Linked DNA regions of Diceros bicornis minor. The protein of the gene in region 1 interacts with the protein of each later gene in a pairwise test. Links are inferred from orthologs where the notes say so. Each region holds a gene or a part of one and is shown in the gene's direction. Other genes may lie near its edges.

Evidence for each region. The genes of interacting proteins can lie anywhere in the genome.
Region 2: the proteins of ZGPAT (region 1) and DHX15 interact in binary tests that used the Homo sapiens proteins (3 or more experiments, as listed by UniProt). The two-hybrid records come from large-scale screens. The link is inferred for Diceros bicornis minor from reciprocal best matches to the Homo sapiens genes ZGPAT and DHX15.

The regions. Positions count from the first base shown.
Region 1 is NC_080758.1:499,922-507,813, reverse strand, and holds the start of ZGPAT (zinc finger CCCH-type with G patch domain-containing protein), read left to right. Parts: upstream 1-4,840; 5' UTR 4,841-4,986; intron 4,987-5,242; 5' UTR 5,243-5,391; coding exon 5,392-5,945; intron 5,946-7,892. Other genes in the region: ARFRP1 (ADP-ribosylation factor-related protein 1), read right to left, coding at 3,511-3,593, 3,816-3,903, 4,137-4,392. UniProt on the Homo sapiens protein: Transcription repressor that specifically binds the 5'-GGAG[GA]A[GA]A-3' consensus sequence. Represses transcription by recruiting the chromatin multiprotein complex NuRD to target promoters.
Region 2 is NC_080747.1:19,849,707-19,857,594, reverse strand, and holds the start of DHX15 (ATP-dependent RNA helicase DHX15), read left to right. Parts: upstream 1-4,876; 5' UTR 4,877-4,973; coding exon 4,974-5,044; intron 5,045-7,888.

The DNA.
Region 1 (7,892 bases):
ACCTCGGGTGGGGAGTGGCCACCTCCCCCCCACTTCCCGCTGCCGCACACCAACCCCACTTCAGCGTCTGCTCCTGAGAACCACCCATGACCACCGCCTGCTGGTGGCCAGAAAGGAAAGATGGGGCTTGGGGGCTGGAGGAGCCCAGACCAAGCCCATCCCTCTGCAGACCTGGAGTTGGAGAGAATGCACTGATGGGGACTTGTGCTGGCACAGACAGCAAGCCTGGCAAGTGTGTCACTGACAAGCCCTGGAAAGACCACTGAGGGCTGAGGCCAGCTCCACACCAGCAGCAGCTCTGGCCCCTACACAGAATGGCAGGGCCAAAGACCAAACCAGCATCACTAAGCTCAGAGCTCTGCAGGCCAGACTGGTGCCAGGAGGGCAGTCAGCCCTGGGCTTGCTGACAGCAAGTGTCACAGGATCCCCTACAACAGTTAACCACCAGAGCCTGGGGACAGCTAGGGGACAAAATGGAACATAGCACCCCTCAGAAAAGATAGATACACAAAGTGGGGACATATGAGGGACAGACCCACTGGGCGCGGGGCATGAGGGATGCAGCCACAGGTCTGGCGAGTCCACCCTCTATCCTAATCAGACCACCGGAAGCACCCGCATTCAGGAGCACCTTCGCCACTCTGCCCCAGCTCTCCTGCCTGTCACAAGACCCCAGGGACCTGGAACATCCACATTGACTCCTACGGCAAGGCCGTTCCACTAGCTGGGCAGGACTAGCCAGCGGTCAGCGAGCTGAAGGCCCTGGTGATGCATGTGTTCCAGGGGGTGGGAGACACCCGGGGAGACCCAGGCCTGGCAGCTCTGGACAATTCTTAGGGTATAGTGAGCAGGCTACCCCGACCCCAGCACAAGACAAGCTCTTGTATATGCATTTGCTACAAAAGAGAAACCCAACGCAGCCCTCCTGGGTCCTGCAGGCCATCAGTCCCGCACACAAAAACTTCTCCAGCCTACATACTAGGCAAGGTGAGGACAGTGGGCTGGCCGTCTTGGGGCTGACACAGGGAGCTGGCAGGCCCTACAGCGGAGGTCTCCGTGGCAGCAAGCCCAGTGAGACAATCACCAGGCAGCCCCTGGGGCCCCAGGGAGTGGCAGAGGACTTCTGGCATGCAGCTGGGCCCTGGCAGACGGATGCTGGAGCTGCCACCATACCCAGTGGATGTCAGGTGATGATCCAGCAGTGGTGGCAGCGACAGGAGAGCACACCTGGGGCTCAGTGTGAACAAGCCCAGGGGCACAGCAGGCTGCTCTGGCCCCACAGCACTCGCCACGCTCCAGACCCTGATGGCTGCATCACGTGTGGCCACGTGGGGGGATCCCACACAACCAGCAGAAAGAGGGAAGGGCTCAAGCTTGGCTTCTGGGTGGGCCCACACCAAAGGTCTCTTAGGTGTGGCCTAGAGGAACAGAACAGAAGTCCTCCCCGCGGCAGAGCGCCAGTGGTCCCCCTGGTCCCGCTTGTGTGGGCAGACGCGGCCCAAGGCTAGCATGCACACAGACCCATAGGCAGCAGCACACAGCCTAGATGAAGGTCTAGGGCAGACATGGAGCAGTGGACATGGGGAGTGAAGGTCCACCAGACATCTGCCGGGGACAAAATGACTCGACTGGCCCAATACAGTGCTGCGGTGCTGGACCACATGGGGGCCAGGGCCCAGGACGCAGCATCGGGGAACGGGGAGGGGAGTAAGAACTCCACTTCCCATCCCCCCAGTGACCCACAGGGGACTCCACTGCTCCTTCCCAGCTCTGGGCTCTACAGGGCTGGGGGTGTGGTCAGCACGCTCACCAGGTGCATGGCAGGAGACCTGCTGAGTCACAACCCCTGGCTGCCTCCTGGGCACACTGGACAACCCGTGTCCAGGGCCCAGCGGAGACCCCTCTCTGGCAGGAGGTAACTGACCCCATCAGCAGGAGGTGGGGCGCCCACTCCACAGCAAGCCAGAGAGCACATGAGGAACCCAGGGGACCACCAGAGAAGGCGACCTCAGCAGTCAGGGCTCAGCCCCTCATGATGAAACCATGGCACAGGCAGAAGTAGCAGTGCAGGGGGCCACAACCAGCTGCAAAGCTGGCCTGTGGTGTGGCTTGTCCCTCTCCTCCCTCTTCCAGCTTCCCCTCAGGAGGAAGCCCCAATCTTGGAGGAACTGCTCCCCAAGGCAAGGGCATGGATGCAAGCGTAGCACAGTGGGTGGTGGCCAACACAAGAACCTGCCACCTGCTGCAGCCTTGCTGCCCAGTGGCAGGCAGTGTACCCAGTGATCTGTCTCTACTTGGCTCCTGCAGGACCCACTTTGATCCACAGAGAGCCTCCTTACCAGATCACAGCTGCCCAGGGCAGCCCACCATGGTGACCCCCCAGGCAGTATGGAGTCCCAGCCAGCTTGGCCTGACAGTGGGCAGCTGTGAGCAGTTTTCCTCCAGGGCTCCCCACTGGGCCAGCCACAGTCCCTCTGGCCCCAGCACCCGAGCTGACCCCTCCCCCTGCCTAGTCCCATGTCCTCTTGGCTCCCTTCCCAGGTGCTGGTCACCAACACGAACCCTGCACCCCAACCTCCGTCTCAGCACCTGCTCTTGAGACCCTTGCCTGTGACACAATGGTGGAATCTGTTTCACTCCCCACACGGGTCTGGGGTTCGGACAGTAGGCTTGGCTCTTCCTCAGTCCAACTTAAATGGCCACAGGGAGCCTGTCAGTCACCTTTTGGCAACAGAATGGAAGCTGCTCTCTTGGCTAGAAATCAGAGCAAGAGAAAATGCTTTGGAAAAGGTGACTGGGTACCTACTGCTAGAGTCAAACCAGAAATGAGAACCAAGGCACTCAGTTCTAAACACATAGGCAACCAACAAGTACTGGGGCGGGCATGTCTGCACCAAACCCACCATGCCAATCCATTGGGACAGGGCTGCCTAGGGAAGGAGCTAGGTCTGTCCCATTCACCGCTAGACCCCAGTGTTGGGCACAGGCTGAGCTGGAGACAGACTCCAGTCTTGAGGTTTGGGGGGAGGAGCACCACACTGGGGTCTCAGAAATGCCCGAAACTTATATCAAAAGAGGATGCAGTTGCTGTGGGTCTCTGAGGACATCCTCCCGGATGGGGAAGAGACCACCACGGAGTACAGGTCCTAAGCTAGGATTGAAGGAGAGGGACCCAGCGGGGGAGACGCAGGCCCTGCTGGTGGGGCCGAGTACTGCAGGTGTGGTGCCTTCCCTACATCTGTTTCTTGGCCATCTTTTGTCTCGTCCTGGGGTGAGTAGCAACGACAATCTCTAAGCCAAAATGAACCAAGTGTGTCCTCACTGCTGGGGGAGGAGTGCGGGAACTGGGATAGGACTGGGGGGGTGCTCAGGAACAAAGTGGGTGATGGCGGCTGCTGACAGGAGGGAAGGAAGGTGAGCCTGAGGCTTTCTGAGGAGAGGAAAAAGCCCAGGGGTGCCACCTGGGCAGAAATGGCACAAGGGGCAGGCGGTACGCGGCATCTATCTTACCTTGTCCCACAGAGACTGCAGCTCTTCCTGCCCCCCTAAGTCCCAGAACAGGAGGCGAGCCTTTCCCACATCCACAGTGCCAACTGGGAGAAGAAAACAGGCAAGGCTGTGGCCTTGGTCCCTGACACACCATCTCCCAGCTCTCCGGGGGCAGAGGCCACTCTGGTGCTCCTCGAGGACCAGCCGACAGAGCTGGAGCAGAGGCCTCACACACAAGGCTCTGCTGCCTGCCTACTGGCCTGAGGACGTCACAGCATCCTGAGGGGTCTGCCCCCCAAACCCACAGCCCTAAGGGATCCCCTTACTGTTTAGACCCACGGTGGTGGTGATTTTGGATAGACTCATCCCCTTGTAGTTCTTGTTGAACCGGGTTTTTGACTGCTCCAGAAAGGTCTGCGGAGCAGGAAAGAGGCATTAGATAAGGACTAGAGATGTTTTCAAGTCTGTTTTGCTAATGTCTTTCCTTAACCCATTCCTTTAAAACAAAACAAAACACAACAACGTTTTGCTTTTAAAGCAGCTTGTGGTGACCATCCCGCGGCCTTAAATGGGGTTTGGATTCTGTCCAGGTGGTGGGCATACTAGTAAAGGCACAAACCAAACGGAGAGGGAGCGCAAGCACGCACCGTCTTCCCGGCATTGTCCAGACCCAAGATCAGGATGCAGTACTCGTCCTTCTGAAACATGTACTTGTACAGGCCCGACAGCAGCGTGTACATCCTGCCCTGGGCACCGCGAGAGACCAGTCACGACGCTCCGACCGGCGCCCGCCTGCCCTGCCTGCTGACAGCCCAGATCTGGTCCGGAGCACTCCCGACTCCTCCCGCCGCCCGTCCCTCTTCGGTCTCCCCACTCTGCCCTCTTCCCCGTAACTCTCTCCATCCCTCCGGACCGCCGGCTGGTGTCCTCGCCCCAGGGCGCTCCTCCTCCCCAGTCACCGCCGGGCCTCCCTCCGCTCCCCGAGCCTCAGGCCGGTCAAGGCCCCACGCCCTCCCGAGCCCCCCGGGCGCTCCCACTCCGGCCCGCAAGGACGAGCCACCCCTGCCCGCCCGGCCGGAGCCCGGGAAACAGCGGGAACCCCGGACGCCCGCCTCCGGGAGCCGGGTGCGTGTAGGGGGCGGCCTGGGGCGGGCAGATGGGGACAAGCCGCCCCGCCCGGGGCCCCGCCTCCCGACGCCCCGACCGGACACCGGCCTTCGGGGCCCGCCGGCCGGCCGCCGAGAGCTGCTCCGGATCGGCCGCCGGTCCTCGCCGCGACCTCGGACCCGCCCGGGAGGCGAAGAACCTGCCCGTCTACCTACGCCCGCCGGCCGCCGCGCCTGAGCCCGCGGACCGCTGACCCCGCGCGGCGCCCGACGGGACACGGGCCTGCTGTCCCGGCAGCCCCCACGCAGGCACTTCCGGTGGCGGCCGCGCTCGGCAGGAAGTGCGCGTTGGCGGCGAGGGCGGAAGCGGGACGCCGGGCCGCTCTAGCCGGTGAGGCGGCGGGCTCTCTATGGCCTGGCGGGGGCGCGGAGGACCGAGGGAGCCCGGCGGCGGCGCCCCGGGCGGGCAGACGCGGCGTGGGGCCGCGGCCGGGCTCCGGCTGTGGCTCTTCCGCTTGGAGCCGAGAGCCGTTCCCCGCCTGTCTTCTCGTCCCTGCGGCGGGACCGCGGGCGGCCCTGAGGGTGGCCTGGGGGCCCCGCGCCCGTCGGCTCAAGCTCCGCCGGCTCACCGGCTTCTCTCCCCGCAGCGCCGCCTCCGGAGGATCCGGGCCGACCCCCAGGATCCGGGCCGACCCCCAAGGACCAAGCCATCCCCCGAGGACCAAGCCATCCCCCGAGGTCCCGGGCCGCCTCCCCCGACGACCGAGCCGCCCCCCGAGGACCGGGCGCCCCCGGGATGGACGAGGACAGCCTGCAGGCCGCCCTGCAGGCCCACGGCGCGCAGCTGCGGCAGGTGGAGCGGGCCCTGCGCGCCGGCCTGGACGCCTCCGAGCTGGCCGACCTGCGCCAGCTGCAGCAGGACCTCAAGGAGCTGATCGCGCTCACGGAGGCCAGCCTGGTGTCCGTCAGGAAGAGCAAGCTGCTGGCCGCGCTGGACGGCGAGCACGCGGCCCGGGACGAGGCCGAGTACCTGGCCTTCCAGACGGCGGTGGCCGAGGCCGTGGAGGCGCCGGGAGCCCCGGGGGCAGAATCGGAGCCTGTCCCCGAGAGAGAGGCCGGGCCGGAGGAGGCCGGCGGGGAGGCCGGCGGGCTGAGCGGGCGGAAGGTGAGCGCGCCCTACCGCAGCCCCTGGGGCACCCTGGAGTACCACCACGCCATGGTGGTGGGCGCGGAGGCGGCGGCCGGCGGCTGCGCGGGCGTGCGCGTGCTCTATCTCTACCCCACGCACCGCGCCCTGAAGCCCTGCCCGTTCTTCCTGGAGGGCAAGTGCCGCTTCCAGGAGAGCTGCAGGTGAGCGCGGGCCGGCGGGCGGGCGGGCGGGCTCGCGGCGTGTCCTGGTCTGTGGTCTGTGTCTCCCTGGGTTCCCTCGGGTCAGTCGGGAAGGAGGCACCTTCTTCGCGGTGAGACCTCTGCAGTGTCCGTCCGTCGTGGAAACTCGCCCGCGCGAGGTTAGGGAGCGCGGCCGCCCGCGCCGTCCTTGCCGGCCGTCTCCTCCCGTCTGTCCTCCTGCCTTGGTTTTTTTTCCTTGGACTACTTTAAAGCGAATTCTGGAAGTTGCTAGTTTTTTCACCTATAAATAGTTAAGAATGCACCCCTAATCTAACTGACAAGGACGTCATAAAAAGGTCATCTCCGTGTCGCCGTTGCGCCCGACAGAGGGAACCGCAGTGCCCCGTCCCTGCTGACGTTTCCACGGCCCCTGTGACGGTGTCTTCTTTTTCTCAGGGCGCGACTTTGATTTTGCTCCTTCGTGCTTTGTCTTGAGAAGGAATATTGACTGAAATTTCTAGTAGATAATTCTCTTTTTTAGCCAATAGTCCAGGGTAACTGTCTCTAGCTCTTTGGTCGTGTTATTTCCTTATAGACTTTTGCAGGGTCCCAAGTCTTATCTGGTACGTCTCCCTTCCTTCCTTCTTTCTTTGTAAGTTTTATTAAAGAACAGCACACATACAGGTTAGCACGTAGATCATGAGGGGACTTGGAGAGCTTTCAGAGGAGACACAGCCTGTCCCCAGTACACATGTTAAGTAAGAGACGTAATGTTTCTATCCTTTTTTCCCTAGTCTCTGGGGGGCACGTCCACATGTGATGTCCCCTGTGGTGGTGAGAGCTGGCATGTCCATGTGCTGCTTCCTCTGGGACAGGCACTTTCCTCGAGTGTCACAGTATGGACTGTGTCTAGTGTCCCCACGAGGTGGCCTGCCACCACTCAGGGTGCATGGTTCCGAGGGGCGGAGCTGGGGCCCCAGCAGTCTGGCTCTGAGACATCCCCACTCGCCGTGATTTGCGCTGTCAGCTTTAGGCCCCACCGACACATCCTACACACACCCACCTCGCATTACTCAGCACTGCTAAGTTATTTACTTGCATTTGGTTTAGATTTTTAAAAATACAATAAAATAGACAATGTTGAAGCACTCTTTGACCACTCTCTGCTGCAGTCCCCTCTCTGTCCCGGGAGGCTGTCATTGTCACACTTGGGTGTGTATCTCTCTAGCGTGTGTTAGTTCTTTACAGGCATACGTGTGTCTGTAAGTGGTACATGTCTGTGCTTTGTTGTCTAAGTGGTGTCATACGGCAGTTCGTCCTGCACCTTGCTGTTTCCGCTAAGCGTGTTTGTGAGAGACCGCCGGGTTGATGTTTATAGAACTGTTTCATTCATTTTCACTGCTGTGTTATCTTCTTTCATGTGAATATACCACATTTTACTCACTCTGTCCCTTTCTGATGTTTTCCAATTTTTATTTGTTACAGTGTGCTGTGAACATCCTAATACTGTCTTCTTTTGTAACTGACGAGAATTTCCCTAGTGTGTAGCCAGCGTGGAGAGTGTGTGCAAATTTTCTGTTTTCATGTGATGTATGTTTCCTAGTCCCTAGTCTTCTCCACAGTCACCTGCAGTGACATTATCCGACTTGCAGATTTGTGCCTATTGAAAGCTGGGAAAATGGTGTCTTGACTGAATTTGTATTTCCTTGATTACTGGCGAGATTGAGTTTCTTTTCATATATTTGTTGTAACTTAATCTCTATATTTCAGTCTCCTTATCTGTAAAACAGAGATGAGAATCATCTTTCACAGTTGTTGGGAGAATGGAGTGCGTTAATATGTGTCAAGAGTGTAGAGCAATACCTAACATACAGTTAAGCACACAGTAGATTTTTAGTTCTTACGTTGTTATTGTAAAATAAAATCGGATACAGGAAGTAAATACATAGCATGGGGCGTTATTGGAAC
Region 2 (7,888 bases), on another chromosome or scaffold:
TTAATAGGGAGGAGTGGAGCATTTCAACAGGCTCAGCAGGTTGAAGGGAATTTAGGGATTCAAGACTTTTTGGGTATATCAACCTAAATGTCCCCATCCCCTGTGTCAGAGTCCCACCCTTTCCCAACCAGGGCCCTAACCTTGACATCATGCCTGCCTAAGTGGTGAGTTTAACCTTCTTTAGAAGTTCCCACTTGGTTTTCTGCTACTGTTATATTTAAGTCCTGGGACCGGTCCTCAGTTTTCTCTGTCTTCCCACTGCAGGAGATGAGAACCTCTTCACACGCTCCCCAGAAGGTCTTCTGGTTTTCACACTTAGCTTTGAATTGCAGATTAATCACTCTCAGCCTTTCATTACCTCCCTCCAAAGTATCAATTCTACATAGCAATAGCCGTCAAATTCCAATGTGCTTATAGTTACTCTTTCCCCCATAATTTGAGAACAACGCATGCTCTTTCGCTGCACACCACATGCTCTTTCCCACAGCTGAAACTTTTAACAACTGCCCTGCTTTCTTGTGGTAGCTATATTCTACCTGCCACCACTGATTCCTTGTGGGCCAGCAACCAGTGGCCAACCCCCAAATCCAGTCATAGTGTCTGCTTTCTTGGACCATTCCTGGCACCAAATCTTTTAGGTTGAGTTCCATGAAAAGTACACATGAGGAAAAGATTAGGATTCACGAAGTTTATTAAGGAGTCCACAACGATCAACACCAGTGGAAGGGAAGAGATGAAGGCAGGATCAGACAGAGGGAAAAACTGTGCTGTGATGCTATTGTATAATAAATGATTTGACTGGCTTTTGTCCTCGGTTCCTGAGAGGTAACTTTTAAACCCCTGTAATTTCCCAAGTGATAGGAGTGTCTTTGTTATTTATGGTGGGTCTTTGGACCACATCTGAGTTTATGCTACTGAAACGATTCAGGATGAGGGCTGGTCATGTGAGAAAGATCAACCATGTGATTAAAGGGTTGAAGCTTTGAGCCTTGTGATATCAGCCTGACTTCCTGACCTCCAGCGAGGGGAAGGGGGCTGGTGATTGAGTTCAATCATAGGGCCAATGATTCAATCAATTATAGCTAGGTAATGAAACCCCAATAAAAACTCTGGATACTGAAGCTCAGTGGAACTTCCTGGTTTCTGAACATGTTGAAGTGCCAGGAGGGTGACATATCCTAATTCCACAGGAAGAAGATACAGAAGCTCTGTGTTCAGGACCCTCCCAGATCTCACCCTATGTGTCTTTTCATTTGGCTGGTCCTGATTTGTATCCATAATAATAAAACTGTAATCACAAGTATAGCACTTTCCTGAGTTCTGTGAGTCATTCTAGCAAATCAGTGAACCTGAGGGACTTGTGGGAATTTGTAGCCAGTTGGTGAGAAGGGTAGGTGGCCTGGGGACTCCTGAACTTGTGGATGGCATCTGGAGTGAGGGCAGTCTTGTTGGGGACTGTGCTCCCAACTTGTGGGGTCTGAGCTACCTCTGGGTGGTTAGTGACCAAACTGCATTGCAGTATAGAAGATACCATTATAACAATGGCCTGAGATGATCCCACAGAGAGCTCTGATGCTCTGAAGCTCACAGTTGTCCCAAGCTGGGGAGAGGGGCTAGGCGCTTATACCTCCACAATATATTCAGACTGCCCTTGGGCAGCTCTCTTTAGCCAATGAAGTTTTTGAAGGGAGCTGACAGCTGAAGGTTGTCTGCAGGTAGCACTCCCAGGAAGTGAGGGATGTTTTTCATTCTTGAAGCAGGATTTCCATGCCAAGTCACAGTGCCGACCGCACTTTGTAACTATTTCTATCTATTAAATGGTAGAGTGAGGATAGGGTGATTAAAAGCAGTAGTGGAGATTCTTTTGAATTTGTAAGCATTTTGCAGCTGAAGAGAATTCAGAGTGAGATTGGTGGGATGATCCTGGCAAATTCTCATGAGTGATCATATCGTTGTCCTACTTAAACCCTTTTGATGTCTTCTTATTGCTCTTGGGAAGGATAAACTCTTAATATCCTTAGCAGGACTCCTCAGGCTCTGCATGATACGGCCCCTTCTTGCATCTGCAAGATCATGTCATCTTCATCTCATTGCACTCATGTTGTTCTGTCTATGGATTGCACCTGACTTTTTAAAGTCTCAGGGCCTTTGCACAGGCTGTGCCCTCTGCCTGGAATGCTTTCCTTCCTCTTCACCTGACGAATTTGTACTCATTTTTTAGGTCTTTGTTTAAATGTCCCTTTCTCAGAGAGGTCTTCCCTAACCCTCACTCTGGATCAGGGCCACCTGTTATATGCTCTCATAGCACCTGTCCCCTTTAGATGGCCTTTTTAGCACTTATCTGAGCTGTAACAATGTAGTTATGTGTTTCATTGTTTCATGCCTGTCTCTGTCCCTCTGATAAGTGCCATGAAGGCAGGAACTGTGGCTATTTTGTTCTTTCCTCTCTCCCCAGCTCTTAACTCAATGCCTGACATGGGGATTTAATAAATATTTGGTGAGTGAATAAGCAAATGAAGTAATTAAAGGATAGATAGTAGTGATACAGGGTAGTGGTTAATAGTGTGGCTCTGGAGTCTTACTGGATTCAAATCCTTTAAATCTTGACTTGTCCATCGAAAGCTGTGTAAATGAGTCCTCCCCTTGGACAACGTAGAAACTTCAGTTTATCAGTTCACACTGAGTTCGTCAGATTGAGGGAACTTATCCTCAAAAACCTCGGAGAATAATGTGGAATAAGAATACCTATTCATCATCAGCGGCACAGCGTAGCACTTAAGCACACAAACTATCTGAGATGAATCCTAGAACTGTCATCTTTGCCACAATACTTGGCATTTTTGTACAGCAGTTTCCTCACCTGTAAACGAGTGTCAAAGTTGTTGTAAGGATCAAATAGGTTAAAATATATAAGAAACAGTGTCTGGTACCCAGTAAGTGCTTTCTATGTGTTTGCCATAATCATTATTGTTTATTAATTTAGGTTGGGAGACACCTCTGGCTTGACACCTAGAGCTGGTTAGCTGCATAAGACATTTTCTCTATTTGAATAAATTCATGCCACAGACCAAATAACAGATCAGAGGGTTGTCTAATAGACAAAAAGTAAGAGTAAAGGAAATATTCTCTGGTAACATTTCCAGGAAGCTGTAGGGGACCTTGATGGATGGTTCTTCTCTGCTATAGGGACAATTCTGCCTGAAAATCCAGAGTAAGTCATCTAGACCTCAGGGAGTGTGAACATCCTGGCAGATTCTGGCCCTTGGTTCCCCTTGTTGTAGATTCCAGAAAGGGCACTATCCTTTGGTAAATATGGCCTTTCTTCAGTCATTCAGGTTACACCAAAATTGATTAGGTTACACTTTTCTTTAGATATACCCTAAGCCCAAGGAGGAAGTCTTATTACTCTGATTTCAGTTCCTCCTTTACCAAGTCTCCCTGCTGATGCCTCTTAGGGTGGGGGCACTTCTGCAGGTAGAATTCTAAACTTTTCCCTCATTATTTTGCCAAAATTTTAGAGTACTTTATAGAAACCCTCAAACTGGGAATCTGGAGACCTGGGACTGGCATAGAGTGAAATCTGGATTTTAGTTCTGACTTTGACACTAACTTGCTGCATGAACGTGGGCATGACCTAGGGGCTCAGGTTTTCTTGTATGTAAAATGTTGCAGAAAATCAGCTGGAAATTCTTTTCCAGGTTTACAATTCAGCGATTATGCATCATGATCTCTGACTAAAGTCAGTATACATACTGTTAATGTACATTTAGGGTAGAAAGTAGCAGTGAATATTTTACGTGAAAATATTCACTTTTCTTCGCACTGACTTTGGAATGTGGATTTGCTTCAAAAATAAAAACCCTCTTTATCAGTTGCAATATTAAAGTTGTATTTAACCTTAGCGATTGCAGTTCTGAGGACTTGATAAGAACCTGAATATGGTCTTCCAGGGTAGCCAAACAGCCATTTCATGAACTACACAGATGACCCAGCTTGGGCTGGTCCACAGATCTTTTTCTTGTGCATTTCTTCTGGGAATGATTGCAACTGAGCAAGCAAATAGGTTCCGGTTGGAGAGATCCACAAAAATCATGTCATCTTACCCCATCACTTTGCTATGGCTTTAAGGACAGCCCTAATGGCTGTGTGACTTCTTAATCTCCCTCAGGCTTAGTGTCCACATCTATAAAATAACACCTACCTTGCAGGGTTCCTGTAACAATGAGGACAGAGCTCGGGTTAACACTGTGAAAGCCCATAATAGGCACACAGAAAAAAAAAAGCTTATTATGCCCTTACTGTCAATTTTCTTTATTCCAATAAAAATTACACCAATGTTGACTGCATGTTGCCCGTGGTGGGTAAAATAAGGCCAAAATGGATTATGGCAAGTCTTGAGATTTTTCTCACCTTAGTTTCTTAACTGCAATTGAGAGCATCTGGTCAGTGGCTGCAAGTTCTAGATCTGGAGTTATAAAATAGTTGGGTTCCAATCCTGGCACTCTGTCCCTTATCAGTTGTGTGATCTTGATTAGTTTCTAAACCTCTCCGGGTCTCAGAGTCCCCTAAAGCCAGGGTAATACAGACAGATAGGACTACACTTCCCCGCCTCTCAATTTCCTAAAACAGAGGTGCGCGAAGGCTCACGCCACCGAGCAGCTCCTCAGACGGCGGAAAGCACCCGAAGGAGGGCGGGCCAAAGAAGCCACAGGCGAGGCGGGAGTTCCCGCCTCCTATGCGTGCGCGCGCTACGCGCGCACGCAGAGCACGCTCCGGAAGCGCGCGCGCGCAGGCCCAGCCCTCGTCGCCGCCGCCATTTTAGCTCCTGGTTCCGGCCGCACGGTGTAAGCTGTTGTAGCGGGAGGGGTGGGGGGGGTCCTCCGGAGTTAAGTAGCTGCCCTCGACTGCGCCCATCCAGCCGCCAGCTTCTCTTTTTGTCTTTCTTCTCGACCGTCCGCTCGAAGAGTCCGAAGATGTCCAAGCGGCACCGGTTGGACCTGGGGGAGGATTACCCCTCCGGCAAGAAGCGTGCGGGGACCGATGGGTAAGCCAGGCCGGGGGCGCGAGGCAGCGGCTCGGGCTTTGTTGGGGTCCCGGCAGGGAGCGGGCCAGGACCGGCCGGGCCGAGCGGGCCCCGGAGCCCGACCCTTTGTTCCCTCTGGGCTCGGCTCAAGGCGGCGGGTCGGGGACAGCGGCGCCACTCCCGACGTTCGCCCGGCAAGGGCGCGGGATGTGTGGCGCGGCCGCCGCCCGGCCCAGTCGGGAGCGGGTGAGGCCTGCTGTGGCCACGAGGACGCCTCCTCCCCGGGCCGAACCAAGCGGCAGTCGCTTCGAGGGGAGCGGGCGGGAGGGAACCGCGGACCGCGTGGCCTGGCTTCCCGGGTAAGGCTTGGGGCCGGCGAGCAGGGTGGGGGAGGGCGCGGCGGGAGTATTCACTTCCAAGGACACCAGGTGCTCCTCAGGCAGAGGGGCCGGGGAGAGGGCCTCGACGGGCGGCTGGGGGGCCAGCAAGGGAAAGACGGGGGCGGAAAGTGAGAGAAGCGCTTGGATTCTCGTGAAGGCTGGGATGGGGGTGGCGGGAGTTGAGTGAGGCGTGCAGACCAGGAGTTCTCGGGGGAAGGGAGAGTCGAGGGCCTGCCGGGAGAAAGGAAAACGTGGAGTATACCTGATGGGCTGGAAGGCTGCTGGTTTGGAGCCTCTGAGTTTATAGTTTGGCGGGAGACCGCGTGCCTCGGTCCATTCAAACACTTCAAAGAAGATACTAGGCAAACTTCCGCTCTCTGCCTATGCTCCCGCCATCTCCTTTATTTCCTGCTTTGGCTAAAACAGTGGTTTCGGAGGATCTCTGGGATAAGCGTTAGAAGGCATTCATTTTTTCCAATAAGTTCTTGTTTTCTAACCCCCCACCCCCACCCACGTTCATAACCATCTTTTGAAACCCGATGCTTTTCTAAAATGTTTCTGGTATTTATGGAAAAATAGCGCCCTTGGGGAGGTTGTGAGTTGAAATACTCAGACTCGTAGTGTTTCAGATTCCTTTCCTTGAGCGTTTCCTTAAACGTACAGGGGAATTTAACAATTGACTTGAGCAGTTGCATCAGAATCTTGTCTTCTCCGGTATATGTGTTCATTCCTGAAATAACAGAGATTTATTTGGATAACTCAGGCAAAAATAGAAAAGTCTGAACATCCAAATACTTAGCATAATTTTATCATTTTATTGTGTGTGTACGTGTACAGAATCACTGTGTTAGGTCGTCTGTGTAACTTTTATATGAGTTTTTGTTCACCCAAAGTCCTTCATTTGGGTTGATTTCCAGGTATTTGTTTAATGTCGAGAGTATAAGCTGAGATAGAGTGTACTTTTTGATACCTTCCTATGTGTTGAATATGGAGAGCAACAGTATGTAACATTTTAGCCTTGTAAGGTTTTTAGTTTTCAATGTTAGACATTAGTTTTCTCTCTCTTAGGCTGTCTCCTCTCCCACTCCAATACTTTAGCTCATTTGAGCTACACTCACAGACTCATTAGAGCTGGAAATGACTTAGAAATGGAGACTCAGAGTTGTTAAGGTGGCTTGTGCAAATTTACGTGGTTTACAGCTGGATCTAGAACCTTGATCTTTTCATATTCACTCTTAGCCTCTTGCTTTTTCCATTACAGCACACAGTCTATGACTGTAGTTAAGAGTCATTACAGCCGATTTTAATGACATTTAGAATGGGTTGTTAAAGTAGGGAACACTTGGTTCTTGGTTTCTGTGAAGCAAAAATAAATTGCTTGTCTGCTGGCTAAGATGCAACTGATAGCTCTCACAACAGTTAAGATTGGAACAAAACATGCTGGGAAGGAATGAATTCACTAACTCATAAATGTGTGTATGTGCACCACTTAAACGCTTTTTTGGGATTGGTGGTCCCATATGTATGTGGGCTTGCTCGCTTTCTCTTGCAAAACAGATATCCTAAGTAAAAATGTGGACTTTTTAGACCTTATGATTCTCTTGGATATTATGTGGCATCTACCTGTAGGTGAAGGAGAGTTCATCTTTGGAATAAAGTCCGAGTTCTGAGGTTCTGGAGGGAAGTTTGTATACTCAGTTCTATGTCACTTGAATGTCATTTCTCATAGAACTAATTTTCTTTAGCACTGGGCTTACAATGTTTATTAGTGTTCAGGTCTTTTTTTCTTTAATATTTGATAATTTAAGAAGTCGCTTTCGCTGACTGCCATGCAATCTTGCAAGTTTTGTTTTTGTTTGTTTTTTAAGTCCTGGTAGTTAGCAGGTGGTTTTTACTGAGAGGGTAGGCTTGTTGGTCTTGTGAACTCCACTGCCAAACACTGCTGTCCCATTTCCCCAATACTGAGAGGGGAAGGTAATTCCTTGGGAGATTTCACTCATATTCAAGCTCCCAAACTATATATGGCTTTATTTATTCCTGATATATTTTAATTTTGGGGTCAGGTAGAGAAGTTAAAGGTTTCTGTTATATAGTGACCTTATTCCTTTTTCTATCATCCCACAAAATTTTCCATATAAAATTATTACCAAAAGACAACTTACTAGTGAAGTATGGAAAAAACTTTGAAAATATACTGTGCTCCTGAAACTATTCTAGGTGCCTTATGTGTATAAGCACATTTTCACTACATTCTTGTGATGTAGGTAGGTGATGTTAAGTAACTTGACCCAGGGAACGCAAGAAATGTCCATACGCAAAGATATAAAGGAAAAGGCAAAAAATTTCTTGAAGTCTTTGTGCTTATGCTTAGTCCCTTGAGGAACATTTTTTTAGATCTCTGCATTTTATTCACAAATGTGAACTATCATAATATCAATGGGTTATTTCAATATGTGTTGTTTTGTGCTTTGATTTTTATTCACTC